Tamandua tetradactyla: one gene and its partners. The protein of the gene in region 2 interacts with the protein of the main gene of each other region in a pairwise test. Links are inferred from orthologs where the notes say so. Each region holds a gene or a part of one and is shown on either strand. Other genes may lie near its edges. The genes, in order: RBFOX2, PSMF1, FBXO7 and BEND7.

Region 1 (7,332 bases), on a different chromosome or scaffold from region 2:
ATTCAAACATCACCTATTGGAGAGACCTTTCTTGACCATCTCTCCCTCATTCTCTATCCCTTTACCTGCTTTATTTTTCTTTTTAGGATTTACTACCACCTAACTAATAAAAGTTGTTGATTTATTTATTATCTATCTCCTCCCATTAGAATATTAGTTCCATGAGAGCAGGGTCTTTGATTCGTTCACTTCCATGTCTCCTAGGTATAAAACCAGAACCTGGCACACAGCAGCTGTTCAATAACATTAGTTGACTGAATAAATGAATAATAATTATCCCTTCACTATTATCAGAATGGTATCAGAAAATCCTAGAAGTGTAGTACTAGGCTTAAACATCATCTTTTCATAAATATTATTTCTTCTTTATTATATCTCAGTTTCAAACTTCTCACCAAAGCTTTCTTGACCATGTCTTTCTCCTGGACCCAGTGGACACCATAAATCCTCTGTACCCTTTGGCTCTAAATTATGCAATATCATGTGATATAGCTATCCTGTGATATCTCTACTCCTGCTCCTCTGGAACATTAAAAAGAAAACCATATATACCATTTTTTTAACGTTCACCCATTTAGTCTCGCAATCTAGACAGAAAACTTGACATATTTTTTGGAAAGTAATTTAGAAATCATTCTGTACAAACACTTTATTTTACAAGGAAAAAAGAAGTCCCCAACAAAGAGATCTTTACAAAACCATGCTAGTTGAAGGTAAGGTGCTACATCAACGATGATTTGAAAATCTGTGTGACACATTGCAATGGGACTGCATATTGAGAATGTGCGAAGTGAAAAATAAAGAACAGCCACAAATACCAGAGAGAAAAAAAGGATCTCTGTGGAATAGTTCTAAGTTGCCCATTTGTGCCCAAAGGACTTAATCCACTCCTTCCCCTGTATACCCCTAAAGGTCCTACAATACTCCATTTCTCAATACTATTGTCCTTAGCCACTTTGAAAGCAGCCGGCCAATAATAAGCTCTGGGAGGAAAGGGGAGGAAGGAGATTCCCCCTATTAACTATGATTGATAGAAACAATAAAAGAATACATACATTCATGAATGGACACATCAAGCAAAACATGCTCACCAGGACCCACATCCAGTGTCCCCCAACTTACCATCCAATGTTAATCCACCTCACCTTAAGTCTCCCCATATTCCTCTCTATTATTTTCCATGGTCCTGAGCTTTTACTTCTCACAATCCCTTTGCCTGACAAAATTCTAATGGGCAACAAAAGCAGGCACACAAAACAAACGAATTCAAAAATAAACACCAAGAGAGTCACTATATCCAAACCAAAAGAAGTAAAAATACTTCTGCAAAGAAGAAGCCTCTGCAAAGAAGACCAAGAAGCATACAGCAACCATGCCAGGCCTAAGTACAGCTCCTTCACCAACACAGGAAGTCAGGCAGAGCCTTGAAAAGCAGGGAGGAAAACACAGGAAGTCTTTTAGCATTGCACAGATTTCCAAGAGTAGTTAAATGAAGAGACACAGGAATAGGAATAAGAATACCAGGGTAAAGTAATATTCTAGCTTTACCATCAGCTAACTGATACCTTTAGGTAAGTTGCTAGTTGTCTCTCTGGACTTACGATTTCCCATCTATAAAATGAGGTGGTCAAAATATTTTGGGACTTGAATCTTCATAAACAATTTTAAAAAGATGAAAACTATTGACGCTCTCCCCCCCAAAAAAGTATACGTACACTATTTTGCAAAGGATTCTTCAATCTATCCAGGGTAAGAACCCCTGGAAAAGATGATGGTTCTGGTTCCTTCTAATCGCTAACATTCTATGATTCTAAGAGAATTAGGCAGTTCTCTAAACAATCGTTGGTACCTGAGCCCCATCATTTCAAAGCAAGTATTTTCTGAATGGAGACCAAATACTAAGACCTACAAAGACACTGACATCGTCACTCCATTTCCCATTTCTAAATCAACTAGCTTATCCTCGAGTCCACAACTCAGAATCCAGCCTTCTAACAGTCCTATAAATTTTCTTTTATATCCTCAGGGTACTAAAGACCTTTCACGTGTCCTGGCTATGTAGGATGCAATTGGCAAAGCACAGCAGAAGCATTTCTTGTGTCTCTCTTCAGGTTCATTAACATGCTCCACGAAGTTAACGAGGCTTAGTATCACAGTGTCCCCACAACACTACCAAACTCCTTGCACTTCACACTCGCTGAGTAACTGATTTAACCCACAATCTAAGCCACATCCCCTTTCGGCTCTCTCTAGGAGTTTTCTCGCCTTTCACTCACCTCCTTCAAAAGCCTCTCCCCAGCCTCATCCCAGTATGTGTCAAGGGCTGCCAAAAACGTACTCCTCCTTTTCGGGAGGTTTTCCACCCCTGCCCCCTCGTCCTCGATTCAGCCCAGCGGCTCTCCTCTAGGCAAAAGACCCAGGCTTTCCGGCTTTCACTCCACCCTAGCAAACTATGAAAAATGGAATCCATCTCAACCATGTTCTGGATTTCCCCAAAAAACCTATTCCCTCGTCAGTCTCCTCGTCCCCTCAGGAATAAGGACTCTCCAGGGCACACCAGGATCCTACTGCACCCTTCGCCTCCAAGCCAGAGCTCGCCCCACCTTCCAAACAGGCCTCGACCGGCCCCCCTCCCACCTCCAGCTCAAGACCCCCGAAAGCCCTCCTCCTCTCCAAGCCCCGGGAGCCTGGAGCCACCCCTCAGGTCCCACTCCGCACACCCACGATAACGGGGTGCCCGTCCCGCGCGGTCACCTGCATCCCGCCGCCGTCGGCAGCCGCCTCCTCTGTGCGCGGCCGCTTGCTCAGGCCAGGCTCGGCTCCGTCTCCTCCCCCTCCGGTCACCGGCAGCTCCAGCTCCGACTCCCGCTTCATCCCCCGGGCAGCGGCACCCGGCCCGAGCTGAGGCGGCTGCTGCGGCTGGGCGCCTTCCGCCATCCGCCCGCGCCCCCCTCGCCTCCGGGAGCCGGGCGACCCGCGACAGGCCACCTCCCCCTGGGCCTCGGCCCCGACTGTCGCGACAGGCGGGCGCGCGCCTGCCCCCGCCCCCCTCGCGTGCGTGCGTGCGTGCGCGCGGGCAGGCCGGCGCCCCTCTGCGGCTCGCGGTCGCGGCTTCCCGCTCGCAGGCTCCGCGGCTCGCTGCCCCGCGCCCTGCTCCGGGCCGCTCGCGGCTCGCCGCGGGCACTCGCTCGCCGCCCACCAACACGCTCGCAACACCGCTCCTGGCCCGCCGCGCCGCCCCGCCTCTCACACTCACGAAGCTTGCCCACCGGCCCGCACCCGCTCACTCACACTCTCCCTCGCACGCCTCGCGGAGGGAGGAAGGGGGCGGTCCGGCTCGCCGAGGCGTGGGGAGGGGTGTTTATTTGGGGGGAGGAGGGGCTCGAGCTGACTGGCCGGGATGCTCCGACCCGCCACTGTGGCAGCTCCGGGAAGGCGGGGAGAGAGAAAGAAGGAGGGAGGGACCTGGATGTAGGACTCCAGCCCGCGCGGGAGGCTATGGCTGGGGCGGCGGCGGCGGCGGCGGCGGCGGCGGCCCAGTCCACGAGGGGGCGGGACCAGTGCTTCTCGGCAATCTCCGTCGCCCTCGCCCCGGCCGCCCGAGGAAAACCGGAAATAGCTCGGGGAAATTCGGGAATCTCCGGTACGGGTGAGGAACGATCTTGGAGGTACAGGGAGGCTGGAGTCGTATCTGCGCGAAGGGGCCAGAGTCTTCCCTTTAGGGGCGGGGCCTCAGCTTAAGGCAGGTGGGGCTTGAGAGACCCGTAGGCCGGCTAGCGCTGCTCTCTAGTAGGACTAGTGCAGAGATTCGTGACCTCAGTTCTCCGGTTTCGCCACACTGGTTCCCTAGGAAAGAAGGGCGTTCTGTGGGAGAAGGCTCTTAGCCTGCTGCCTCTCCCTTAGAAGAATGAGACTCTCCGGTTGGAAGGTCAAGGAATAAGACCATCACTACATGGCTCTCCCCAGTTCTGAGAGCATTTACTCTAATAACAAATTTCATATTCCGGATAATCATAAAAATACCTGTTGTTTCTAAGAGCATAACAGTTTGCACAATGCGTTCATAGACCCGATATAGTGATTACAGGCAGAGTAGTTGTCACGATCACAGTTTCGTTGATGACGCATCTGAAGGTTGGTTAAGTCCTGCAGCTAAAAAGCGGCAGATCCTAAGACACCAGGTCATATTCTTTCGCTATACCTGGCTGCCTGCACTTTATTGCTTATCAACTTTACGCAATTAGAGGTATCTGTACAATAGCATCTCTCTTCTACCAGACTGTAAAGACCAGGACAGCATCTATTTTTCCAGGGTTGCCTATTGTGTCCTCTACTTTACAGGTTTACAATGAACCTAACTTAAACAAGTTATTTCACCTCTTTGGACCCCAGCTGCATGATTTGGCCTTCCTCCCCACCCTCCCCACTCACCCAGCCCCAGGACATTTGTCAATGTCTGGAGACATTTTTGGTTGTTAAATTGGGTGCTGCTGGCATCTAATAGGTAGAAGTCAAGTATGTTGCTTGACATCATCAAGACAGTACCCACAACAAAGGCTTATCCGTCCCAAAATTATCCAGCCAAGGTTGAGAAACTCTGGGTTTCCAGATGGGTCATTTCCAGATGGGTCTATAATTTGGCCTTTGGACTTGGGTTTAAACCTGGCTAATTGTGGAATCGTAGAGGGCTGGTAAAGTTTCCTGTTTTGGAGTCACACCAACCCAGGTTTGAACTGGGCCTTAGGACCCAGTGCCCATGTATTTTTGCAACTAAAAAGTTCTATGTAGGAGGAATTAAGGCCTCCAATGTGGGAGGAAGGAATGGAGGACTTGTCTTGAACCTGTGTTGTCACAGTAAACACATTGTTTTACTAAGGTTGTGTGTTATGGATCGATAACAACAGCCAAGATTTAGTTCTGCTGCTTAAAAACAAGGAAGCCTGGTGAAAATGACTTAACCTCTCAGTTTCATTTGAAAATTAAGATAATGATAGTATCTCCCTCAAAGAATTATTGTGAGGATTAAATGAGATATCACATATTAAGAACTTCAAACAGACGTGATCTATAGTGAACATTCATTAAATATTAACTATTATTATTCCCATTATTATTTTATTCACACTTTAAATGACAGTGAAAAAAATGCCCATTGTGAAAATCAAAGACTATGACCATCACTGTTTTTGTTTTGTTTTAATTATATGAGGGGGCTTGGGTGGGGCCACTAGAGATTGGGGTGGGGTGAACAAAGCTTCCCTTGGTGCAACTACTATGTTGGGCAGTTTATTTTCAATAAACTTTCAAATGCTCGTTTGTAAGATGGCAATTATAATAGTCACATTGTTGTTAAATAAAACAAGTACAAGTCTTAGCACACAGCCTACCATATAATAACTGTTTAATAGGTGGTAATTATTTATCATATTATTTATTTAGTGTTGCTAAGCTTCTGGCCAGGGGGCCAGGGGGTTAGAAATAAAAGCCCAGACATGTCTTTATATGGTCATTTGGGCCATCAAGTTGGAAGTTCAAGTGCCTAAAAATTTGTACTTGAGTTGAATTAGACATCCCCATTCTAAGTCAGGGGTCTTCTGTTGACAGTACCCTAGAGCAGATGGGCCTGATCCCATCCAACTAAGTATTATATCTTTGAAGAAAAATCAGGATGTTTCCTGGTGGTCTGTGAAACAATGATGGATTTTTTTTTTAAACCTAGAGACATCAATGGTTGGTTTTCTGAAAATTTTACTTACTGAACTGGTGCCTTAAGAATTCTTTTTCCCTTTTTCCTTGTTGCCTCAATTTTAAATTGGTTTGTGAAACTTACTGCACAAACACAGGCTTTATAATGATTATATGGATACTTTATTTAAATATGCCTACGGTTAAGCTAAGTAAGATATACATTTTTGGTGGTTCTAAGTGTATTTGTATTCTTAAATTTAAAAAAATTAACAAAAGAAAAACACTTCCAAAAAAAAAGAATTCTTCTCCCCTCCCTACCTTCTTACCAAAATACTGAAATCTAAATGATGCTAAGTCCTTCCTGAGCTGCCCAATAACCCTGCAAGAAATGAGACTTACTATCAGGACTGCCTATGACTCAAATTATTATGTTATTCAAGTAGCTCTCAAATCCCTAAGAAATAGAGCAATGCAGTATAGAAATGTTTGAATGACCAGGCAAAACAAAGGGAAAATGGAGTCTGCCCCATAAACAAACATTAAGAAAATGGAGAATAGAAGCCTACAATAGTGCAAGAGGCCATGTGTGTCCAGAGCAGCACAATGACCAATATCATTTCTTTTATGTAAATCTGAAACTACCTGTTTAAAGACAGGTGCCTATAAAATATTAAAGGGGAAGAGACAAAACATATTTCCTAGAAAGAATTTCTAGCTGCAAAAACGACTACAGTGATAACATTTATTTGAGAAATATGGGCACGTGTCTAGGATATCATGGTACCATAAAATTTATTCACAGTCTAGGGAAGGAAGAGATGAACAAATAAAAAAAAAAAAACAGTTGCAATGCATCATGGTAAGTTGCTTATCCCTCCTAGTGGTCAAGAACACGGACTCTTGTGTCAAATAGACATGGGTTAGATCTGACCTCATATACCTGAGCTCAGACAAAATCCTTAGCCTCTCTGAGGCCCAGCTTCTACATTTGTTTGACAGGCACTGATAGCAGCCAGCCCATTATCTATTCTCTTCTTAATTCCTTATTATTGAAACCCCATTTGTGTTCAGGGCAGGAGTCTGCCAGTTTACGACTATTGAATTCCCAAGCTTCCTATTAGCTAAGTGTGGCCATGTAACACAGCTCTGGCCTTGGAGGTGTAAGTAGAAGTCACTGAAGCTGGTAACTGTTCCTAATTAATAAGAAAGACCATGGGAAGAAAAGGCTCTTTGCTTTTTGCCCTTAATCCTTTGCCTCTTGCCTTTCACCCTTCCTTCTTCCTGGAACACAGACTGGAAAAACAGCAGACATCTTTTCTCCATGAGGTCAAGAGCTCGTACTAAGAATGGTATTGCAGAGCCTTCATAACAGCCTAAGTCTGCCTACGTCTAATTTATTGTTGTATGAGAAAAATAAGTTCCCATTTGATTGAGCCTCTGTAGGTAGTTTTCCACATGCAGCCAAACTCAACTTCTAACTGATAGAATCTGTAAAGCGAAGATAATAATAGTATCTCCCCCTGGAGTTCTTCTGAGCATTAAATAATGCATGTAAAACACTTAGCATGACATCTGGCCCATAGAAACACTTAATAAATGGTAACTTAGACCTTTTTGCTCCTAGTACTATTCCTGTTGTCCTTG
Region 2 (7,889 bases):
CTGGACTGAGATGTCTGTTGGAAACTCAAGTCCAGTATGAGGGCTTCTGTGTACAGGGCTCGCCCTCCCCACCCGTCCAGGATATGTAGTAAGGAGTTGAGAGGGGTTCAGGTAGAAGAGACGTGCTCATGGGAACTACACCCGAAGTCTCGGTGCCAGGGCCACGGAATCTTGGAGTGAGGGGTTGAAAGACCGAACTGAAGGGAGCTTCTGCCCTTGAGTTAACAAATAATACTGTGCCAGCTGTGTTGTAAATGTCACTGGGCTGGGACAGTTGAACATGTCCCGCCTGCAGGCTATTTCAAAAGTGTCACGAGCCCCAGGCCCCGGACTTGGAGAGGGAGGTGTCAGGCGCTCTGATTCCGGCCTCCGGTCCTCCGGGTTTGGGCAGAAGAGGGCCTCCCCTCCGCCCTGGCCCCGGGGCGCCTCCGCGGCCTACCTGGTCGCCGACCCCCAGGCCGTAGTAGCCGTGCGTCACCACCTCCCAGTGCAGGAAGCAGATGATCGCGTCCTGCGCGCAGGTGATGGCCGGCGCCACCGACGCGAACAGCACCTCCAATCCCGCCATGGGCGACGGCGGCTTCTGCGGGCGGGAGAAGGAAGAGCAAGAACGCTGTAAGCCACCGCGGCCCTCTGAGAAGTGACAGCGCAGCTTGGCCCCTCGGCTCGTCCCGGCCCCGCCTCCCCGGCGCAGCCCCCGGAAGTAGCTGCGAGTGCCGGCGCAACAGTGTGCGCGCCCGGCTGGGAACTGGAGCGCGACGATTAAGGTTCCGCCCGAGAGCAACCGGCCGGCGCGGACCTGGGTGGCTGGAGGCGCGGCCATTCCAAGCTGGAATCCCCTTCTCCAGGCCTCAGGATCCTTGCACTGAGCCACAGACTTCCTGTCCTCAAGATGGGGTAGGCATATGCTAGGTAGGGGAAGAGGTTAGGAGATATGGCTTAAATATATTCATAATAATAATTGACACTTGGGCAGTGCCCAATTGCTTGCCACGCGCCACAATTATTCTAAATGTCCTACTTGTATTCATTTATTTAATCTTTACAACTAATGATAGCCCCATTTTATAGATGAGAAAATTGGGGCACAGAGAGGTAATCTGGTCAAAGTGACACAGCCAGTCATTGAGGGGCAGCGATGGTACTAGAACCCAGTAGGTGCTTATTGTATGCTAGATCCTGTGCCAAAAATCTTTACTTCATCCTCTTAACAAATGTACGAGTTTTGTTCCATATTGTCCCCATTTTGCAGACGACAAAAACAGCTCAGAGTTGAAGCTACATGCCCAAGGGGACACAGCTGCTCTCCTCAGAGCTGGAGCCTCCAAACTTCAAATCATTTATTTTGTGGTATTTAACAGTTCAAATTTTCTTAACAATTTTCTTAAAATCCACTCACTGTTTTTACTTAAATAAATTTAGTTTCTCTGTCCCAATCAGTCTTCTGCTGTAAAATGCCAGCATCTCTCACTTGGATGACTTAGATTATCAGCATCTGCTCTGGCCCGTTCCCTCCCTGTTCCCTCATGTCTGTTCTCTACTTTGCAGCCAAAGAGAGTGTTAGAAGATAAGTCAGGCCACAGGCCTCCTCTGCTCAAGACCAGGGCTCCCATCACACTCAAAGGAAAGATCAAGTCCTCCCATGGTCTGCAGGGACCTGCCATGGTCTTCTCTCAGCCCTGTATTTCTCAGACCTCATCTCTTCCCACTGTCCCCTCATCCTCTGTACTCCTGGCTGCAATTAACTTGGCTCTCTTCCTTCTGTCACACTCACATCTGATCCAACAGCAAAGCTGGTCGGCTCTAGCCTCAAAGTATGGTCTAAATCTGACCACTGCCTCCTCCCGGTCTGATCTGCCAGCATCACAGGATTGGCCAATCGCCTGGCTTCCTACCAGCTTCCCTCTTCTTCATGTTCTGTTCTCCAAGCCTTTGCATATGAGCTCTTCTCTCTGTAGAATGCTCTTTCCCCAAACATCAGCATGGTTTGCTGCCTCATATCGAGCAGCTCCTTCCCTCACCTCCTACCAGCCTCAGAAAAGGTCTTTTCTGCCTACCACATAGAAAATAACCCCCTTTTGCCTGCGCATGGGTAGGTTCCCACCAACTCCTCCAGCACCCAGCCCCTTGGTATGCCAGTACTTCGCACACAAGTAGTCATATAGAGTGCACCTCCCAGGACTCGGTTCTCTGTTATACACCAGCCTCCTTGTCTCATCTGGGTTCTCCCAGAAGCTGATGCTGAGACAGGGGTGTGAGTACATGTGGTTTATTTAGGAGCCGATTCCAGGAAATACCAATGGGGGAGCAGGGAAGCCTGGCAGGGGAGGGAAGGCAGCCAAGAGAGGGTGTGTGCCTAAACCCCTTGCCTCCATGGGCATGGGTACAGCACACAGCTCAGAGTTTTCTCACCTAAGGGCGAGGGAACTGGGGTCTTTTTTTCACTCATCCCCTGTCTGCTACAGGTGCAGGGCTGTCCCTGGGGACATGTGGAGCTGCACAGTTCGCGGGAAGCAACTGCTGGTTCTTGGGGTGACTGCTGAGGGGTGAGTGGGGCGCGGCAGCATCTGTTGTGCCTGCTCTCAGGGTGAGCCATGCCCTCGTCAGGTGTGTGACCCGTGGCCAGCACAGAGCAGGCACGGGCATCTGTGTCCTGAGAGAACAAGGTGAGTTTTGCTCCCACACTGGGCTGTGAGTCCACCTGAGCACCGGGCCCCTGTTCAGCCCTCCCTGGGCCCTGCGGTCTTCAATGGGTGGGAGGATTCTTCAGGGACAAAGGTTGGGACCTGCCCCTGGCCCATCCAGCCCTTTCTGTGCACTTACCTACATCAGCAACAGTCTCAGTCTGCCCGGGGAGGCCTGGAGTGGCTGGGAATGGGAGCAGGTGGAAGGCACCTGCCCTGCTGGGCCCCCCTATTTGGGCAGCGCAGAGGCCATGTCTGAGACGGGAGCCCAGATGATGGAAGGAACTTGGGGGGTGGGGCGACAGCCACCAGTTCCAGGTTGCCGAGTAACAGCAATGTGGGGATTCCAACCTGTCTCCCTGGAAACAGTAAAGAGGAGAGCTGGGGAGCAGGGCCCAGAATGTGCTGAGGTGGGCCTCCTTCCTCTCCTATCAGCCTGACCCCCTCACCTCTTCCAGGGAGCCCTCGGGACTGATCCTGTTCTTTGCTAATCACCAAATGGCTAAACTGGTACTGTCAAGACACGTATTTGACACTTGGAGCAGATAACTTTTTAACACTCCCTCCTCTAGATGACGATTATTTCAATAAAAATCACATGATAATCAGGAAAAATTGTTATTCTCCTGATTCATTATTTTTCTTCTCTATTTTTAAAATTACAGCTATAAATTATATACGTAAAGCCTTCCCTCTTTAATGCATAGCTCTCTTGAGTTTTAACAAATGCAAAAATTCATGTAACCACCATGCCCTCTAGATAGTTCCAGAAGGAAGAGATTTTTTTTTTAATAATCTTTACTGAAGTATAATTTATAAACAATACTATGCCCCCATTTTAACTGTACAATTTGGTGAGTTTTGACAAATGATAAACCTGGGACCTCATCATGACAATCAAAATAAAGAACATTTCCATCGCTCTGAAAGTGTCCTCAGGTCCCTTTGCAGTCGATCTCTCTGACATGTGGCCCAGGCCACCACTGATCTGCTTTCTGTCTCTATCAGTTAATTTTGCCCCTCTTAGGATTTCATACAGATGAGATGTGTATGTCAGTTGGGGGCCTCGTGAAGCAGAGGCCCAGATGAAGTTAGCAGTGCTACACTGATCGGGTCTTAGGCTTGTGAATGTAAAAGGGGAGACAGAGCAGGAGCAGACAGGGAGAAGCTTCACTGCAGCGTGCAGGCTGACACCTCTGAAAGCAGAGCTGGGGGGGGGGGGGCGGTGGTTCTTAGTTTGCCAGGGTTACTGTAACAAAGTGACACATACTGGTTGACTTCAGTAACAAGAATTTCTTGTTTCCTAGTTTTGGAGGCTAAAAGTCCAAAGTCAAGGCATTGGCAGTCATGTTTTTTTTCTCTAGAGTCATCAGCATTCTGGCGGTGACTTGCCGGCAATCACAGTGCAGTCTCTGCCTCTGTCACATGGCCGTCTCTCTCCTCCTCCTCCTTCCTGTGTCCACACGTCCTCTGCTTTTGAGGACTCCAGTCATACCGGATTAAGGCCCACGCAGATTCTGTTTGGCCTCACCTTAACCAACAGCATCATCAAAGATCGTGTTTACAAATGAGCTCACATCCACGGGACCAGAGCTGGGACCTGAACGTATCTGTGGGGGGACATGATTCAATCTGCAACAAGGGGGAAGGAACCTCAGACTTTGGTGCATTTCTGAGAGTCTCAGCCTGCCCAGGGAGTAGAAAACTCCAGTGCAAAGATTTCCCACAGAGTTCCAAGATTTCCCCTTTTATCGCAAAGCTGCTGCAACCTAAGGCTGTTAGCTAGCTGCGCTTCTCAAACCTGATGGGCAATTTCTTTAATGAAGGGAGTCGCAAGGCACCCCTCCATGATTGACACGTGTTCTTTTGTAGCTGGCTCTTTTCATCAGTGTGCCTGAGAGTCATCGGCTGTTGTGTGCATCAGAATCTTCCTTTTTATTTCTGAGTAATATTTCATTGTGCACATGCACCACAGTTTATCTGTCCCCTACTGATGGACATTTAGATTGTTTCTAATTTGGGGTTATTATGAATAAAGCTGCTATAAACAGGCATGCACCGGTCTTGGTGTGGTCACATACTTTCATTAGTCCTGGGTAAACCCCTAGGAGTGGAACTGCTGGGACATATGGTAGTAGTGTATGCTTAAAAGAAACTGCCGATCTTTACCAAAGCACTTGTACCATTTTAGGTCTACCTGTCATGAGTCCTAGTAGCTCCACATTCACCAGGAAGGGATTAGGGAGGCTGCTACCATGTGTCTGTGCCGGTGTACTCGGAGGAGGCGAGAGAGCCAAAACTTAGGACAGTTTTTCAGACCTCGGCTGGTGGTGGGAAAGGTGTAGGCAAAAGGGTCCAAGCTGGCACAGAGAAAGATCTAGGCATGGGAAGACTCTCCATCTGCAGGGACACAGGGAGGGCCCATGCAGAGCAAAGGCAGGCCACAAGAGGGCGCCTGGGCCCACCCAAATGCCCACAGAGAGCAGCCCAGCTGGGCGAGGTGCCCAATAAACATTTTCTCCTTCTACCCGGACTCACTCCATCAGGTAGTGCAGAGGCGGCCCAGACTGGAAGCTCTCCAGCAGTTCTCTGTCCGCAATGAGTCAGAATCTTCAAGCCTCCTTTTAGCTCTAGGCATCATTGACCCCTGGGAGATGCAGCCCTAGAGAACCAGAGTCCTAGGGAACACAGAAGGTTTGCTCTGCTGGTTTCTGAAGCCACTCTCCTTCCCAGGGCCCCCACTTCCCTCGGCAGGCATCTTTGTATCCATCCTTTCACAGACTTGGTCCTCTGTCCTGCCCTCCCTGCCCCCACGTCTAGCTCCAGCCCTGATGCCCCATTGGGCGGGTGCCCAATAAACATTTGTTGCATGAATGAATAAATTAATGACTGCAGAGTGGAAAAGTGTCTAGATAATGGAGTCAGGCAACCTGGTTTACATCTCAGCCTCATCATTTACTCACTGTGCAGCTTCAGGCAAACAAATTATTTTTCTCTGTCAAATAGGGATTGCAACAGTATCTCCCAAGGGTTGCTGGGCGGCTTCCTGGAGATGATGTCAGTGAAGTGCTGTCCACCTTGCCTGGCATATGGCAGGAGCCCATATAAAGGTGGTTCCTTATTTGAGATAATGAGGCGTTGGGTAGCAGCTCCTATGTACTGAGGACTTACCATGTGTCTGCCACTTGGCTCCCATTATCAAATTCAATTTTCTTAATGACTCTCATGAGAGATTAAGTAGCTCAGAGAGGTTAAGTAACTTGCCCAGACTCACACAGCTGAGAAAACTCAGACATTGAGGGCTTCAGCATGCAAGGTCTCAAGTCAGACTTTTTGGGATTCAAGTCTTGGCTCCATCACTTAGAATGAATATGACCTTGGGCAAGTTTCTCACATGAAAAATATAGAAAGGTTCAAAAGTGGGCTGCCATGTAGGCCTGGACTGTTTTTTAGGATTTGGTTGGCCAAAGACCCCACCAACTGGAATGCAGCAGCCTGGGTACCTCAAGATTGAGTGACCCAGCATGGGTTCTGAAACATGTTCATTTTTTTTTTTTTTACACAGGTAGACACCATGATTTGAACCCGGGTCTCTGGCATGGCAAGCAAGAACTCTGCTGAGCCACTGTTGCCTGCCCCAAAACCTGCTCTTTTAACCACAGCATCATCTGACTCCCCCATCAAGCACCAAATCATTTCCAAATGTATTCTTCAGGCTCCAGTCAGAGCTGGATTTATAATCTGGCCCAGAAGGTAAGACACATACACATACACACACACATACACGGAGTGGGGAGAGGGAGAGAGAGGGAGAGTTAGAAGAGTTAGCTTTGCTGTGTAACTTTGGTCAAATTGCTTTGCCTCTCTGTGCCTTAATTTCCTTATTTGTAAACTGAGGGGTGATACTTAATCTGTGTGAGAATCATCTAGGAAATACACATGGCAGGACTGAGTCCTGAGCACTGAAGGAGAACAAGGGCTAGAGGAGGAGGCTTTCCAGGACTATTGCCACAAGCATCAGGCATTCCTCTCTAAGATTCTTTAAATGATGCTTTTCTGAAAAAGATAGAAATCATGACTCTTACGCTAATCTAAAAACAAACATGTCTGATATTTGATTTTATTTGTTAAACAATGAGGAAACCAGTCCAGTTCCAAGGAAAGATAAAAATGTAAGAAAAGCCCAAATTTATAGGAGTAAAGAAGTTGAATGATAGATGGAGACAAAAATAGTTTTTCCACAATGAGAAAAGAAGCCCATTCAACCCAACAAGATTCTGCATATCTACCAGCTACCTACAATTTAGGAGGTGCAAAATAGCCCAAAGGCAAGGAGAAGGCTAGACTCAGACAGCTGGGATGTGTGCTACAGGTTTCCACTGTTATACCCAGTTTTTTTCTATAGTTTCTTTCAGCCCTGAGATTCCAGACTTCTTTGTCCATCAGTCTGGAGATGGGCCTCGAAGCCAGACTTTGACTGGGACCATTTCTAACCAGATGTCTTCAGAAGGAAGTTTCTCAACTTTTCTGGGTTTCAGTTTCCTCATCTGTAAATACGGCTGTCACCTCCCAGAGTTATGGTGAAGACGAAATGAGCCAGCACAGGTAGGTGCTTAGAATGGGACTGTGCATATAAAAAGCTGTTATTCTCTCTTTTTTCTCACTGGGAGTAGCCACGGGCTGAGGGATGGTGCTGATTAGGCACCTTCTTTGTTTGTGTGTGTTGCTCCTTCATCCTCCTAGCAGCCGGATATTGGAGAGATATTACAACCTTTGATTAGGGAGGTTCACAAAGGTGGCAGGACTGGCCCGAGGCCACTCTGAAAATAAGTGCAAACTGAATGAAAACCCAGGTCTGTCTGCTCCCTCCAACACCTGTGATTCATTTCAAGGCTTGAGTAGATCTCTAACTCTCACTGGACCTCGGTCAGGCCCTCTCTCTCTAGGAGGCCTGGCCCAGCTGACCTCCTGGATGATACCTTCTCGATTCCCTCCAGTCTGTGGGGAGCTCCGCGGCTGCCGGGCTGGCCAGGCTGAAGCAGCTCTGGAAAAGTCCTAGTGGGCAGGTAGCATGGGAGTGGCGGGTCCAGGCAACTGGATGCCAGGGACACAGCCGGGATGAGGTCTAGCCCTCTGGCACGCAAACCCCAGCCCCGCCCAGAACCCCATAGTTTCCACCTTGCTCACAGAGCCGGGTGGAGAGGG
Region 3 (7,757 bases), on a different chromosome or scaffold from region 2:
CCCCCACTACTGATGGCAGGTACAGGTCCTCTTTTCTACTGATGATGAGTTATGATGTCTTTCATATGGAAGACAGTACAAATTCAAAAACCCACTGCTAAATAACCTAAGAGCTCAAATAAGCCTGAAGCAACAAACTCTCCATCCTCTGTGCATCACGATTATCTGACCTTGTGAGTATAACCATCGTCTCATCATACAGAGGTGATAATTAACAAAAAGTGTAAAACATTTTATAAGACTGTTATAGCCAATAATACCTCTTTCATTAAGTTTTTGAGAGGTTAACAAAGGATGAAGTTCTTTGAAAATCCTATTCTGTTTTTTCTTTCTTACAATGCAGCATATTTTCAAAAGTGCTCAAAATAATTCATTTTTCTTCCACACACAAACATACTTCTTCTTACCAATTAAAAGTGTATTTTGTAGAGAAAGTACTAGAAGTTTACTAGTTATTAGCAAAAAGTTAGCAACTTACTAAGCTTATTATTTACTAGCAGTGTGAGTAGAAACTACCACTGCTTCTCAGAAAACAAGCAGCTCTGCTGCTGTTTTCAAAATGCTTTGATAAACAAAATGTTCAGAATCTGCCAGCTGCCCAGAAAAACAACATCCCAACTTTGGCAGAGAAAAGAAAAACACCTCATGAACTGTTCGTGTTTATGGATCATTTGTCACAACAAAAGTTTTTTAACAGTATCTAGTACAATGCATGTTCAAACATCTAGTCTCTATTCATAGAAAAGGTAAAGCACTTAAGAAATATGCCAGCCTTCCCTGCCCCCTTGAAAAAAGAAAAAGCTATTCCTGAAGTAATATGTAGTTTTCCAGGGAGAGGGTTAAAAATGATTCTGTTTTCTGAAATGGTGCATAGACAGGAACAAAAAATAATTTTAGTTTAACATTTCAAAAGTTAAACAGGCAATGAAACTAGAAACTCCAGACTTTTTCAAGATATTTTATGACAATTTCGGATCCCTTTGCTCTGTGAAGACACTTTTTAAAAAATAACACCTGCCATTTGTACATGCTTTAACACTGCTCGTTTATTATAAAATGAACATACTTTCCAAAAAATGAATTTACTTTCACAAGTTGCAGTTTAAACTGTTTCCTGTCAACCAGCCTCAATTGTGAAAACAAACCTGAAAGAGAAACTAACTTAGGCTCTCGGGTAGATTCATATTGAATTTCACATCCTTTCAAGATTGCCCTACCTACTTAAAAGAAATATCTATACATACTTATGAAAATACCTTAAAAAGAAAAGTTCATTGTGAAAATTTATGGTAATGACAGGAGGAACCAAAATACTTAGGTTTAATACCAAGAAATAACAACAGACACGTCACTTACCATAATGCTCAAAGTTATTACCATACCTCCTCATTTTTTTTACTTTGGAGAAAACCAGGCTTACTTTTAATCTAATAATGTCTTAATCTGAAGAATGAAAGAGTGAGGAGTTCATAATAGGGCCTAACTTTAATGAATTCCCTAAAAATAAACTAGAAGCTTAAAAAAGTCTTAGGAAATAAGCCGCTTCAATGAAATTAACATAAAAGTTTTCTTTTTTTTTTTTGAATAATTCACCTAAAAAGCCCCCAGGTAATATTTTTTTAAAATGTTTAGCAAACTCATAAATTTCAAATTCACCGGCTCAATATTCGAAAAGAAGCCTCCTTACTTTGTCCCTCTATTACCAGATGATTGCCAAAAAAAATACCTCTGAAAACAAAATAGCAACCCTATAAATTAGTACCAAAATCTCTCTACTTCACTGTTGGAAAACTGAAACTCTGCAGGGTCATCCTAAGGCCAAAGTTCACCTCTGTTTTAGCAAACAAGCAAAATCTCCCCCAGGAAAATTAAACGATTTGTAACAAGCTTGCACGCTGAACTTTCTAAAACTGCAGTGGATAAGTGAAAATGCTCACCGACGTAGCTGCCACACAGATGCTCAACCTACTCTTAAAAATAATTATTACGGCTTTTACAGCTGCAGTACAGATAACAGGTGAATTATGATAGAGGGCAGATTTTTGACTTCTACTAGTATTCTTCCCAAAAGTTTATCACTGAAACACCCAACAGCTGAAGAAACTGAATTTAAACGCCCTATAGTATGGACAGGTTAACCCAACCCAAACTCAGAATTTCCAACTTTAAATGCAAACATCGTGTGCATTTTCCATTCTATCCTAGCCATGGCTTCGTTTACTTTAAAGACGGAATCGATTTCCTTACCCTGGAGGGGATCCGAGCCGCCGGCAGGCTGAGCCATGAGCTCCTGGAGCCGGGACCCCCCGCCCGCAGTAGCCCCGGCGTCCCGCTCACTACTCCTCTAGCGAACTCCCGCCCTGGTCCCGGGCCCTTCCTCGGCGAACTTGCCCCGGCCTCGGCGCGTCACAGACCCAGATGCGCCTAAGCACGACCACGCCCCCGGAGAGCGGACACTAACGTGACCGCCCCTGACGGCTGAGCACCTTAGAGGAGCACTCAGCGGCGCCCAGCAACCGCAAGGAGCACGGGCGGTCTAGAGCGCAACGCGCGCGGACTCTCCCCCCAAAAAATACCCAAGTACACTTTCCCCGCAGTACACACCCGTATCGCAGCCGGCCCTCCGCCCCCGACTCGCCCCCGCGTACCTGTACCCCAAAGTGGGCAGCAGGGCCTGGCTTAGGTGCGCGCGCAGCTGCCCCAGCGTCGGCTCTGCATCCGGGATCTCCAGCGGCCACGTCCGCCTCTGAAGCCGGACCCGCAGCCTCATGGCGGCGGCCGAAGGCCTGGTGGGGCTCAACTCGAAGGCGCTGATGGTGGCGTCAGACGGGCCGAACAGCTCCCGTCCCGCGCAGCGGCCCCGGACGGTGACTTCCGGAGCTGTGGGGGTGCTGAGGCGTAACGGAAAGAAAACTCCGCAAGGGCGGACGCCCCGCCTCTCCATAGGGCGCCCCCTGGAGACAACCCCGAGAGCCGGCAGCTGGCGGCCAGCGGCCAGCGGCCAGCGCCCAGCTCCGCGGTTCCGGGACTCCCGATCGGTGACTCGGCGCGCAAGGGCGCAACCCTGGAGGAGCACACTGCGCAAGCGCCCAGATTGCGACAAGGCGCTGGGATCTAGGCTTGTTAGTTTACGTGGCTTTTTTCGATTCCTTTCAGAAGTGCCTAGAAAAACAGTGCTGAAAATGATGCTGTGGACATTGTAACGTGCCACTTCCCAAGGACGTGTGTACCAGTTTTTACCTCCTTTCCTGCGTGGTGAACTATCAGGTCTTCCACGCCCAGTTGCAGTGGCACCTTCCGAAAAGCCGTATAGCGAAACCAGGTAGCGACCTCCTCTTGTGGGTCCGCAGCGCTGAAGAATTAAATGGTATAACGTTATGTCAAAGCCCTGTCATTTTTGGTCTCCCCAGTAACTGCTGTATCGCGCTGTTTATTTCCTTAGAATTTATCATCTGGAATTCTCTTTTAATTTGCTAATTTCTGTATTGGCGTTTTCCCACACAAGAACATGAGTTTTGTGGATCGAGGACCGAGTTTGTTTTGTTTACCGCCTAGTGTTGACCTTAGCATATGTTATACCATAAATGAATATCTTAAAAATAAATACTGTGTAGGCCCTGTTGTATAATGTCCTTCTGACCCTGCACCCACAGTTGGGAAGGCAGAAGAGTTTACGGCAGGTCCCTGCTCTCACCAAATAGAAAACAAATGTTATAGTGCATATAACAAATGCAATAGTGGAAGTAAGTACAAGATACAGAAGTGGTTAACTGGAACTTAAGGCGTTAGCAAGTGTATTTAAATTGTATTTTAAAGTATAAATGGGAACTTTCCAAGAGTCTGCAAGCAATGGTGTATACAAAAAGATGCAAAAAAAAAAAAGCCAAATAGCAGGCATATTCAGGGTAGCTGTAAGAAGTTCGATATTACAGCGCTTAAGATTCATGGGGTAACTTTCCTCTCTAATTAAGAAAGAAAAAAATAAAACGAAAAAACTAACTGGAAATGAATTACCAAAGGGAAATGGCTAAATATGATATATCTATGATAAAATGCTGTACAGACACAAAAAGGAATAGGGTAAATTGGTAAAATTATTATTCACTATTATAAGATGTGCATGATAAATAGTGCAAAGACAAATAAAAAAATTGCAGCTGGAGGATAAAACATAGGACGTATACACAGTGAACCCTGTGGTGGATGACGTCTGTGATTAATAATTAAAAGTATAAAAATATTCTTTCATATTTCATAAGGGTCAATAATAGTGGGATATCAGGGGTATGAGATTTTTTTTCTAAAATTTATTGTGATGAATGCACAATTACTCGATGATATTCTGAACCACTGATTGTATACTGTGGATTGATTTGTATAGTGTATGATTATGTCTCAATAAAACTGCTTGAAAAAGAAAAAAAACTCATGGGATAAGGTGGACACTGTTGTAATTGTTGGATTATATGCCCCCATTTGATTATAGACATCTGAAGTCATCTGGGCTTGGAAATTGCTCAAGAAATGCATGGTGAATGAAGGAAAGAATTAATGAATCAACCCAAATGGTTTTTCAAACTCTTTTTGCCTTGGAAGTTAATAAAACTAAAGCTTGTATGAAAGCTTAATATATTCAACAGATAAACTCAATAAGAGAGGATGGACTGAGATACGCCCCCTTACTTTCCAAGCACTCTGCCCCAGCACAGTTTGAAATCTGGGAATCTCACTCCCTCAATTTCCCAGATGCAGGGCCCACCTTCAGAGGTTCAGGATGTGAAGGAGAAAAAAGCAGTACCAATAGTACTGTACACTGTGATAAAACGCTCAAAATATTTTCAATCTATAGACTTCCTCAGTCTATGAAATCACAATCTCTTACTGGTCTCAGTTGCTAACAACCGCAACAGTAAAACACCCAGCAGCATTAATAGGCTGGGTTGCAATTTTTCAAGGATCACTAATAAAGGGTTTCTTGAAAGCTTCCTGTGTGCCAAGTTCTATGCCGGATACATTGCATGCATAATTTCATTTAGTCTTCATGGCTCTGGGAGATGGCCGCTCTTGATTGGCTTTTCAGTTGGATAACCAACTTAAGCTTGGATAGCTTAAGGACACCCAGCTAGCAATATTGTCATTGCCTGTCTCAAAATAGAACTGAAATTTCTAACCACTATGCTAAATGCCTTCTATAAATGTTACATGGTATAGCCTGTTCCTCTAAAGAAAAGTTCATATACAGAAAATTGGTTGAATTGTAGTACATGTATACAATGAAATCTAAGAAGCTAATAAAACAATAATGTAAGCCAATATATATTAGATAATATATGTAAGATCCAATATACAATGATTCTGCAGTTTTCTTAACATAAAAAATTGCAGAACAATTGTATAATATTGCATTCATGTTTTTATGGGTATATGTAAACATATATTTACTTATGTATGCATATAAAATTTCTTGAAGGATTTTTTTTTTAACCTGGACATCTGAGAGGGGAAATGACTTTCCAGTACAATGGAAACTCAGCTTTCCAAGTTCTTGGAAAGTTCATTAGTAAAGGGATGGTGATAATAGTATGAGCCTGAAATATCTTAGTAAAGGGCCACTCTTCCCCTACATACAGGCATAATTGTACACCCACAATTCCCCACAAGCAGACCTGGCAAGGCATCAGGTAAATTATTAGAGCTCTCTCCTATTTCATATAAGCTTTTATAGTTTTTGAGAAAATGCAGATACATTTTTCTTTTGGTCTTCATACTGTTCCTGTGAATTAAGCAAAATATATTGTCCTCATTTTGACTGATGTAAAGAAACAAGCGTCCAGCTAAGGGAGTGGCAAAGGGTGCATATCTAATTAGGGGAATAAAAAGATTCAGACCTAAGGTGTTTATCTGGAAGTCAAATTCAGCTAAGGAATGCATGTATAAATAGGAAGAAGATTAAAACATTGTGCAAACTTGATCAAGCAGCTCTGAAACCATGAGCCAACAAATTCTTGTTAGAGAAAAAAAAAGAGCCTTGATTAGTGGTAACAATCTGTGTTAGAGGGTATATTAGTAATCTATTGCTGTGTAACAGTCACCCCCAAATTTAACAGCTTACAACATTATCTCACAGTTTCCATGGATCAGGAATTTAGGGGTGGCTTAGCTAAGTGGTTCTAGCTCAAGTTCTCTAATGAGATTGCAGCCAAAATGCAGACCAGGGCTGTAGTCGTGAGAAATGTCAGCTCAGGCTGGAGATCTGCTTCCAAGATGTTTCACTAACGTGACTGTTGGCAGGAAATCTCATTTCTCGATGCATGAACCTCTCCACAGGGCTGTTTGAGTATACTGATGACGTGGCAGCTGGTCTCCCTCATCCCTGGTGGTCTGAGGCAGAAGCCACAATGTCTTTTATGATCTGAGGGTTGGAGTATATAGACCTTAGAAGTTACATACCATCATTCTGTCACATTCTATTGGTCACACAGACCAACCCTTCAGTGTGGGAAGGACAGTCCAAAGGCATGAATACATCATAGACAGGGATCATTTGGGGACCATCTTGGAGGCGGGCCACCACAGAGGATCTAATGACAGCAACGATGATGATGATGATAACTTCGAGGAGGGAGAAAATTCACCTTTACTGGATAGCCTCCAAAACATTGTAAGAGTCAGAAGTTTTCCCTGTAGATGGCAGCACTTGTCCACAATTTGCTATTCACTCACCAAAGTAAGTTCCTATTATTCACCTACTCTGTGCCAGATGGTCACAGCTGCAGACTCAAAGACAAAAAAAAGACATGTTCCTGCCCTTGCAGGACTTACACTTGAGTGAATCAACTCTTGAAGTGGAACCTAAAAAATGTCTTGTTTATGATAGACACAAGCACAGTCTGAGGATTGGAGTATATAGAAGGTTTCTGTGCCAGTAGAGCTCCTTAGCAGTGAGCAGTAGAAATGACTACTGTGAGCAACAGGGGATTCTCTAGAAGGAAGTGAAGGAGCTCATAGGCATGAATGGAGGCAATAGGACTAGGCTTGGGTAGTCTGGAAACATGCAGCCATCTCATGTACTACTCCCCTGTCCTGCTCAGAGGCTGCCACTGAAACAAATGAATCAAGCCTTTCTGAGAAGGTGGGTATGGGAGAAGTGTTCTAGGTGAATTTTTATTGGAAGGAATATGGCATTGAGGATCCCTGTCAGGATCAGGGTGACTCTGTGTGTCCGGAGTAAAGGACAGAAGTGGGCGCAGCCTAAATAAGGAAGAGGTTTAGGCTAAGCAAGGAATTTGTGAGACATCTCAGAATGTATGCTCGGCCACTGGAAAGTCTTTATCCGTTAGGAGTCTTTATCCATTAGGGTGACCAATAAAAGCTGACTCAGTTGGATTAAGCAGGAAAAGAGGAAATTAAAAGGATACTGGATAGCTCAGGGAATTCTTGGGAGGGCTGGAGAAGTAACACCAGGTTAAGCTTCCAAGAATGAAGCTCAGAACCACAATGAAGAAACGGCCTGATGAGAAAACTGTCTCATCAGCTGGCATTGTTGCTGCCACCACCATACTACCATTAAATACAGTGCACCTTGGCAGCCTCCTGCACCAATAAAGAGCCAAACTCCCAGCAGAGCCTGTTTCCTCACAGTCATTACTTTCGAATCAATGATTTATACAGTTTTATCTGTTTGAGGGAGCCCAGGTTCCATGTCTAAGTCCTAGCTACTACAGATACTTGGAATTAAGATCTTAACTCCTTCCTTG
Region 4 (7,417 bases), on a different chromosome or scaffold from region 2:
AGCATGTCTGTTTTCTCAGTCCAAAAAGTTGATGTGAAATGAACACAAAGCCAGAAGAATGAGGTAGAGCTACTTGGTGATACCTAGGACCATCAAGAGGTGGTTAAGCCGGCAATCACACTTTTATTTTCCCTATGCTCTCTGACTGTAGATTTAATTTAATTTTGTCATGGCAGGATTAGCAAGCAGGCCACAGAGGTGAAGGGACATTATAATAAGACAGAACATTAATCCTCTAACCCACCCAAGGCAGAAGCAAAACCAAACAAATAGCAGCTTCCTGGAAATTGAATTTCTGTTATCCAGATGTCAAAGATGTAATACCCCAATTACACAAACTATTGCCAGTGAAGCATGCCAGCGAATATGCAATGTAAATGGGGTGAGCGCAGAGCCATGAAACTGCACACTCAGCATCTGGCTCTGAGAGTGAGTGATAATTAGCACTGTGTGTAGACACTAATAAACATTTATGTCTGAAATTACAACTTTTAGCAATGTTAATAAGGGATATATTGGCAATCTGTAAAATAAAAGGTCTTGAAAAGAATGTCATACATTCAGCAATAGCAGACATTTCCCGTTCCAGCACAATCTTTTTTTCCCCCTCTAATTGCAAATGGCCACACTGCTTTGCTGTGAAATTAACTGACATGAAAACCTACCTAAAAAAATGGGTTGTGTCTCTTTGGCCTCCCCATTAACATCGCTGCTGAATTCTGAGATCTTATACACCTCATGGTGATAATCTGGGATGAGAAAACAACCAAAAATTAGAATTCTAATGACTTGCAAGATATTAAATAAGCACTAAAGGCTAGACTCTCATCATATCTAGACTATCATAATCTCTGTTTTAATTTATATAATTTTCAAGAACTAGTTAACCACGGAAGTTGACAAAAGTCAATAACAATCTCTAAAAAACTTTGCCTATTCTGATGAAAGTACACAAAGTTGAAACATTACTTTTAGAAAACAGCTTTGCTTGATCACTGTTTACACAGTAAAATTTGCCCACAAATGTTAATTACTAGACTTCTTTTCTTTCGTTTGAGAAATATGTTTATAAAGAAAAGAAAAATCTTGCCCATTCATTGGCCCAGGAGGTTTCCAAACTTATCTCCACAACCCATCTTTTAGGTGTAGCAACAGTATTGCTTCAGGGTTGCCTGACACTGTTTTCTCAGTTTATCTGAAAAATCGCAGTCTTTAAGCAGCTTAAAGGCAAGTACACGTGACAAGTACGGATTTGTTATTTCAAATCTAGCATAATTTGGATAAGAAAGCAAGATTTTCATCTTTCACACAAGTGAATCTTTCCCATTCAGCTTCTGCACTTTAATATGTTTATTTTCTAAAAATGTACCTGCAGAGCAAAGAATCAGGCCCATAAGTTAAAAAAAGAAAGAAAAGAAAAACTAGCTCTGTCAAACTTCAAAATACATATTTTACAAGCCTCTCTGCAGAGGCTCCTGAGCTTTGGCAGTCTTCTATTTCTAAAAAATAGGGTCATTTAGCTATGAGAATATAGGTGCCGCCTTAACAGCTATTTCCTTTTTTTTTTTTGGCCTTAATCCTCCCAGGCCAATTTCTACAGAACTACTGTCACCTTTAAGATAAGGCAATATCTGAGGTCACAAATAAAGCAGCCCACATGCCTGAATGAATCAGATCACTCCAAGAGGCTAGTGGTGTATGGAGAGACTTTTAAAGTTCAAGTCACTGAGTATTCCACACTGCTGGGGGAAAAAAATTACACAGAAAGAGGAAAGAGCCAAATATTTTCAATAGGTAAAACCATGTTAGGCCTTTTCATTATGCAGTATCGGAACAAAATTGAGGGAAAACAAACATGAGTAGATCTTTGAAATGTCTATCATCAAACCATTTCTAAACAAAGTGAAAGCAGGCTTCGTGGAATCTCTACTACTGTTAGCTTAGTTTGAGAAACTCTATGACTTGCAACAGTCCTCTAATTTTCCCCCCTTCCGAGGTTGCTAACACAGGTTTGGTTTGCTCTGTACTCGGATGCCATTGCTAGATAAGACACCAGAGGGAAAGTAGACACGTCTGAGGCTTTGTTTTGACCTCAAGCTGATGCAAAGAAGACACTGAAATAGGATGGTTCTGAACATACTGGAACCTGTGGACACTACAATGAAAAAAGTCAACTGCGTCTCGCCGAAGAAGAGACGAGGCATTTCCACGGATATATTTTTAAGCCTGTTCTTACGCTTCGTCCTCATCATTTTTTTAAAAAGTCCCATCAAGAAAATAAACACTCTAACAAGTAGGTGAACAGACAGAGACAAGGCTCTATTCCACTTCGCCCTCCTCTAATAAAAGAGCTCAAGCCCAAAGGCTGCGGTGTACACCTGTTAAGTCGCCAGGGACTAGATGGATCTTATTTATTTATTTTATTATTATTTTTTTTACGATACTTGTCTGACCGGTAAGTGATCTGTTCGAGAACACCTTTCCAATCCAAGTCACAGAGCTGGGAAAGATGTAGGATGGCCACAATTCGTAGTCGGGCTGTGCTGCTTCCGCTGCCTCCAGTACCTTTCCCGTCGCCTCCGGGAGGACGACCGCACCCCGAGGGCACCGCGGGGTCCCCGGCCCAGGCTTTGTCTGCCCCCGGCGCTGCCCTCGGGCCTGTTTACGGTTCGCATACCTGCACCCCACCCGCCAACTTTGCCCGCGGCCCCCGCCCCCAGCCGCAGCCCGGGAGGGAGTTTGGGGGTCCGCGGGGTGAGGCCTCCGAGGGAGCCCGGGGCCCAGGGTTGTCCGCGTCGCCCCGGGTCCCCAGATCCCGGACCCCGGTCCGGACCCTCCCGAAACGCTTCACCCCAGCCGGGTCCCGACCCCGGCGCGGCCCCCTCACCTCGGCTCCCCAGTTTGAAGCTCTGCGATTTCCTGCTTCTCCTCCTCTCGGAGAACTCCATGGTGCCGGCGGGCGGCGCGGGTCCGCGGGGAGAGGAAAGGCGCGCGGCCGGCCCGAGCGGCGTCGGCCCTCGTCGCGGCGGGAGGCAGCTGCCTGGGGAGAGGCGCCGTCCTCCTCCTCGCCGCCCCCGGCTCCCGAGCACGCCCGGCCCCGTCCAATTTCTCCTTTTTCAAAGCGGATCCGAAGCGGAACTTTCCGCGGCGGCCGCGCTGGGGCGGGCGGAGGGCGCCGGCGGCTCAGGGCGCTCGCTGGGCGCAGCCTCCGGACTGACGCGGCGGCGGCGGCGGCGGCGGCCGGGGGAGGGAGGGGAGGCGGCCCCGGGGACGCGGCGGCCGGGGAGGCGGCGCTGAGGGGACGCGGCGGGCGGCCGAGCGGCGGGCCGAGGGGAGGAGGGCGGCGGCGGGTGCGGGCCCCGGGAGGAGGGGCGCGGCGGGAGGCGGTGCCGCGGTCCCCGGGGCCACCTGCTGGCGGCCGCCCTCTCGACCGCCGGGCCCGGGCCCGCACCCGCCGGCCTGGCCGCCGAGGCGGAGGCGGAGGCCGCGGCGCTCCCCGGGGACGGCGGCCTGTGCGGACCGCCCCTGAACGCGGGCCCCGGGCCTGGGTCAGCTCTGCAGTCCACCGCCCCCGGGCCGGCCTGGTGGTCACGACGCCCCCAGGGCCGAGAACCCTTCTGGAATGGAGCGGGCCCCGCACACGTTGCTGGGCAAGTTTTAGGAAAAACTTCCCAATGTGCGCTGTGCAAGAAAACTAAAAGAGCGTTTGGAACGTATTGAGGAGAAGCGGATAGGCGGGAGTGGGCTCCGATTCTGTATCCGGTACAAGAAGGGGTGTGGAAGCCACGGGGCTGGATGCGGGGAGGGAACTTGCCCTGCCGGCCGTAGAGGGAGGAGGAGGTGAGGAAGGGTCAGGGCAGGTGCAGGAGATCTGCCACTAGGTTTGAGGACCTCCAGGCGATTGGCGTAAATAGAAACCTTTCATTAATTTTATATGAACTTCTCTTGGGAGCTAAGAGCCCCTGCAGGCTCCATTTCTTTCTCACAACATCTTTAGAGAGGGAATGAGAGAGAATTTCACACCCCCGGCAATGCTATCCGAACATGCTCACAAGTAACTCTCCCCCCCCACCAAAGACCACTTCTGGATGAAAATATAAAGGAAGTAAAGAGGTAGGCCACCTAACAACAAATTTGAATTTGTGGCAAATTCCCGTGGCCCTAAAGGGACAGGGTATGTTGATAAATGTGGTAAGTTCCATGATGAATCCCACCAAAATGAGACCACTGCTCAAGGACCTCTCTTATTAACCACTGGGTTAATAAGAGACAACTGCCAAGGAAAGGAAAAGTTGGAGGCTAGCACAAACATACAAGCACCAAGAAACAAAACCGAGGATCAAGGTAACCAACCAATAAACCAGTGGAAGGAGGCTGGGGCCCAAATCATGAGGTATTAGTTGGTGCGGAGGCTGGTGTACCTGGCCTGGAAGAGAGGGAATAGGCTGTCAGTTGCCAAAGCAAACCCTTAAATGAGGTTCTTAGCCTTTTTGATCACTGTCTGTGGAGTTGATATTCAAAGCTGTGGGCCCTTTCCCCAGAACATGTATAGAAGACCAAGGAAATTTTGTGTAGGTTTTTTTGAGTTTAGACCCCTGGGAGCCCTAAAAGGTGGAGAAAGGATTAAAGTGATGAAATCAACTATCCTTTTTGGTTCTCTCCCATTTGTTTTCTCTTGCTTTAAAACCAAGTAATGAAAATCTGACTGTGTTTTGAATGTTTCTTTAAGGGAAAATGCATACTGTTCTGTTCCCCTGGCTGGGATCCTTTCTTTCCTTTCTGCCATGCCTTTAAAAATGTTATCCTCAAAGAATGCATGGAAGTGATGGTAACTAATTAGTGGAATTATAAGTAACATTGCCATATTGAAGGTGAATATGAGTGAAAGGGATGTATAGTGCCGTGCATCCCACTGATGAACTCTACAATTATAAATAAGTTCTCAGATGAACTATTTCAAAGGTTTGATATTGTACAGAGTCAATAATAGAGGGATATGGGGGAAAACTAAAATTGCATGCTATGGCCAATAGTTAACAGGAAGACATCAGCTGTACCACAGCACTACCAGGGGCAACTAATTAGAGGGAGGAAAGGATAAGCGATAACGGGTAGTTTTGATTTGATATTTGGTTGAGGCTGTGTTTGTCAGTTATCTCTATGGACCAAAGAAAACTCTAAAATTGAGAGTGCTGTTGATTGTATAACCAAGTCAGGATACCGTAAGATGTGGTTTGCTTATTTTGGACATTATCCATGATGCCTAATAGATGGAGGAAGCCAAAGGGTACGATGACTGAGAAGCAGAATGGCAAACTGATACATACATGTGATGGAATATGATGCGGCTACAAAAAAGGAATGATGTCGTAAGGCATGCAATGAACTGAATAAACCTTGGGGACAATGTGTTGTGCAAAATAAGCCAGAAACAAAAGAACAAATATGCTATGGTCTCTTTCAGAAAATACTTATAAGAAATTTGGAGCCTAGATTGTAAGACCTTATAGGAACCACACCTAGTCTGAAATTGTGAGTGTATTTCTAGATTCTGAGACATTGAGCCATATGAAACTGATATTTCCCTGGAACTTTGAGTAACTCTGTGAAACGTAAGACTCAGAAATGGAGTTCTGCAGCCCTGAATGTTAGCACAGCTACATACAATAACAGTTAAAGTAAGCAAAAAAGAGATCAACCTTCCATTAGAGATAAAGACAAAGGCTTATAGCCAGGACTAAGGTGAATCAGAATACAGGGTAATAGATGATAGTGTATATACTCTAGACCTTTACCTGCTATGTAAGACCAAAGGCAGAGAGGTTTATTGTGTCTTTTTTTTTTTTTTTCTTTTTTTCTTTACATGGGCAGGCACCAGGAATCGAACCCGGGTCCTCGGGCTTGGCAGGCAAGCATTCTTACCTGCTGAACCACCATGGCCCACCTGTTTATTGTGTCTTGAATCTTAATCTTGAGAGCACCTAAGGCTCGGACTGGGGCTCAATAAAAGTTTCATGAACTAAGTTTCCTTTCCTGTTACCTATAATTTCCCGGGGGTTCCTGGGCCAGATCAGTCCTGAGGCCCAGAGGGACCAGCCTTTCTAAGATTATCAACCAGTTACATTCCCCTATCCTTTAGTGTGGACACCCCTTCTCAACGTGGGAAAGTCGGAACGGGCATTGTCCAAGGATCCCTGTAGATTAGGAGGGAGGTGGGGGAGAGAGAGGAGTTATAACAGAGGGAATAGGATTTGGTAAATGAGTATGACTGCTAAATCATTGTTTTGATGTTTCTTTTGGCCTCCATTATTTTGGAGCAGTTAAAGGGAAAGACTTGAAATAGTGGAATGGTAACCTATGAAATCTAATTTAACAAGTGACTACTTGTAATAGTGTACTTTGAAAATTATTGCTTTTTCTTTCTTTCCTTTGTATAGATGTTATATTTCACAATACAAACTGTAAAAAAAAAAGTTATCCTCAAAGCCACAGGGCCAAGTACTATACTGATTGAGGAACAGTGAGGACTTTCATGCTTTTGAACATAAAATGAGAGTTTATTAGCCTAAATCCATGATGAAATCATTGAAGGTGTCATACCAGGAAACAAATCCCTGGAGAAGATATTAACAACTTAACATATTCAGTTCAAGTGGGAAGATGAATTCCATGTAATGAACAGACTAGTTTGGATAAAGGTAATAAAATATTTGTAAAAAATGATATTTTGAAACAATAGTCATTTTCCCTGGACCCTTTTATCTGGTTCTCCAAAGATGGTCTGCAGAGCCCAGTCGTTCAGGGATTGTCCTATTTACAGAGAGAAAATCAACAGCGATTTATTTACTCTCTACTTTGTGCAAATCACACAAACATCACTTTATATAACATCAATGTATATATACACAAATTGTATGAAGTAAAGATGAATTATGATATTTAATAAATATGAGATTGCATGAAGTGGTAGGTAAGGTTTTTTTTTAATACAGCTTTTGTGTTATGGGCTATCTCGGAAGGTCCTGTCGGAGATCCACTTAGGTCATTTTTTTGCCTCAATAATCCAAAGCCCTCAAAAGTTTTAGAATCACAGGTCTATACATTACTCAAGCTCAGTGAAAACTGTTCAGATATTCCATGAGTTCATGAAGGCAGAGCATCTTATTATATGACCATTCTAAAACTTAATCAATTACAAATAGATTAAAGATTAAACGCAGGTTTTAATTTTTGACAAAGACAAGTAATTTGGCTAGAAAACTAAGTAGTCTGGACCCTAAATCTTAAAACTCTCTTTCTGGAAGCTCTGTACTGAAAGAAATGGTATTATGAAAATTTCCATCTTTATTTACCACTCTGCTGTTCAAAAGAAATGCACGGTAAGTCATATATGTAATTTAAAGTTTTCTACTAGTGA

Evidence for each region.
Region 1: the proteins of PSMF1 (region 2) and RBFOX2 interact in a two-hybrid assay, tested with the Homo sapiens proteins (2 studies listed by BioGRID and IntAct). The two-hybrid records come from large-scale screens. The link is inferred for Tamandua tetradactyla from reciprocal best matches to the Homo sapiens genes PSMF1 and RBFOX2.
Region 3: the proteins of PSMF1 (region 2) and FBXO7 interact in binary tests that used the Homo sapiens proteins (3 or more experiments, as listed by UniProt). The link is inferred for Tamandua tetradactyla from reciprocal best matches to the Homo sapiens genes PSMF1 and FBXO7.
Region 4: the proteins of PSMF1 (region 2) and BEND7 interact in a two-hybrid assay, tested with the Homo sapiens proteins (2 studies listed by BioGRID and IntAct). The two-hybrid records come from large-scale screens. The link is inferred for Tamandua tetradactyla from reciprocal best matches to the Homo sapiens genes PSMF1 and BEND7.

The regions. Positions count from the first base shown.
Region 1 is NC_135333.1:28,467,133-28,474,464, forward strand, and holds the start of RBFOX2 (RNA binding protein fox-1 homolog 2), read right to left. Parts: upstream 3,016-7,332; 5' UTR 2,938-3,015; coding exon 2,755-2,937; intron 2,655-2,754; exon of another isoform or gene 1-2,654. UniProt on the Homo sapiens protein: RNA-binding protein that regulates alternative splicing events by binding to 5'-UGCAUGU-3' elements. Prevents binding of U2AF2 to the 3'-splice site.
Region 2 is NC_135327.1:23,019,693-23,027,581, reverse strand, and holds the start of PSMF1 (proteasome inhibitor PI31 subunit), read right to left. Parts: upstream 3,008-7,889; 5' UTR 2,824-3,007; intron 909-2,823; 5' UTR 824-908; coding exon 800-823; intron 584-799; coding exon 440-583; intron 1-439. UniProt on the Homo sapiens protein: Plays an important role in control of proteasome function. Inhibits the hydrolysis of protein and peptide substrates by the 20S proteasome. Also inhibits the activation of the proteasome by the proteasome regulatory proteins PA700 and PA28.
Region 3 is NC_135333.1:24,545,969-24,553,725, reverse strand, and holds the start of FBXO7 (F-box only protein 7), read right to left. Parts: upstream 3,014-7,757; 5' UTR 2,945-3,013; coding exon 2,649-2,944; exon of another isoform or gene 2,451-2,648; intron 2,415-2,450; exon of another isoform or gene 2,285-2,414; coding exon of another isoform or gene 2,248-2,284; intron 1-2,247. UniProt on the Homo sapiens protein: Substrate recognition component of a SCF (SKP1-CUL1-F-box protein) E3 ubiquitin-protein ligase complex which mediates the ubiquitination and subsequent proteasomal degradation of target proteins and plays a role in several biological processes such as cell cycle, cell proliferation, or maintenance of chromosome stability.
Region 4 is NC_135333.1:49,223,938-49,231,354, reverse strand, and holds the start of BEND7 (BEN domain-containing protein 7), read right to left. Parts: upstream 3,016-7,417; 5' UTR 2,949-3,015; coding exon 2,888-2,948; intron 750-2,887; coding exon 666-749; intron 1-665.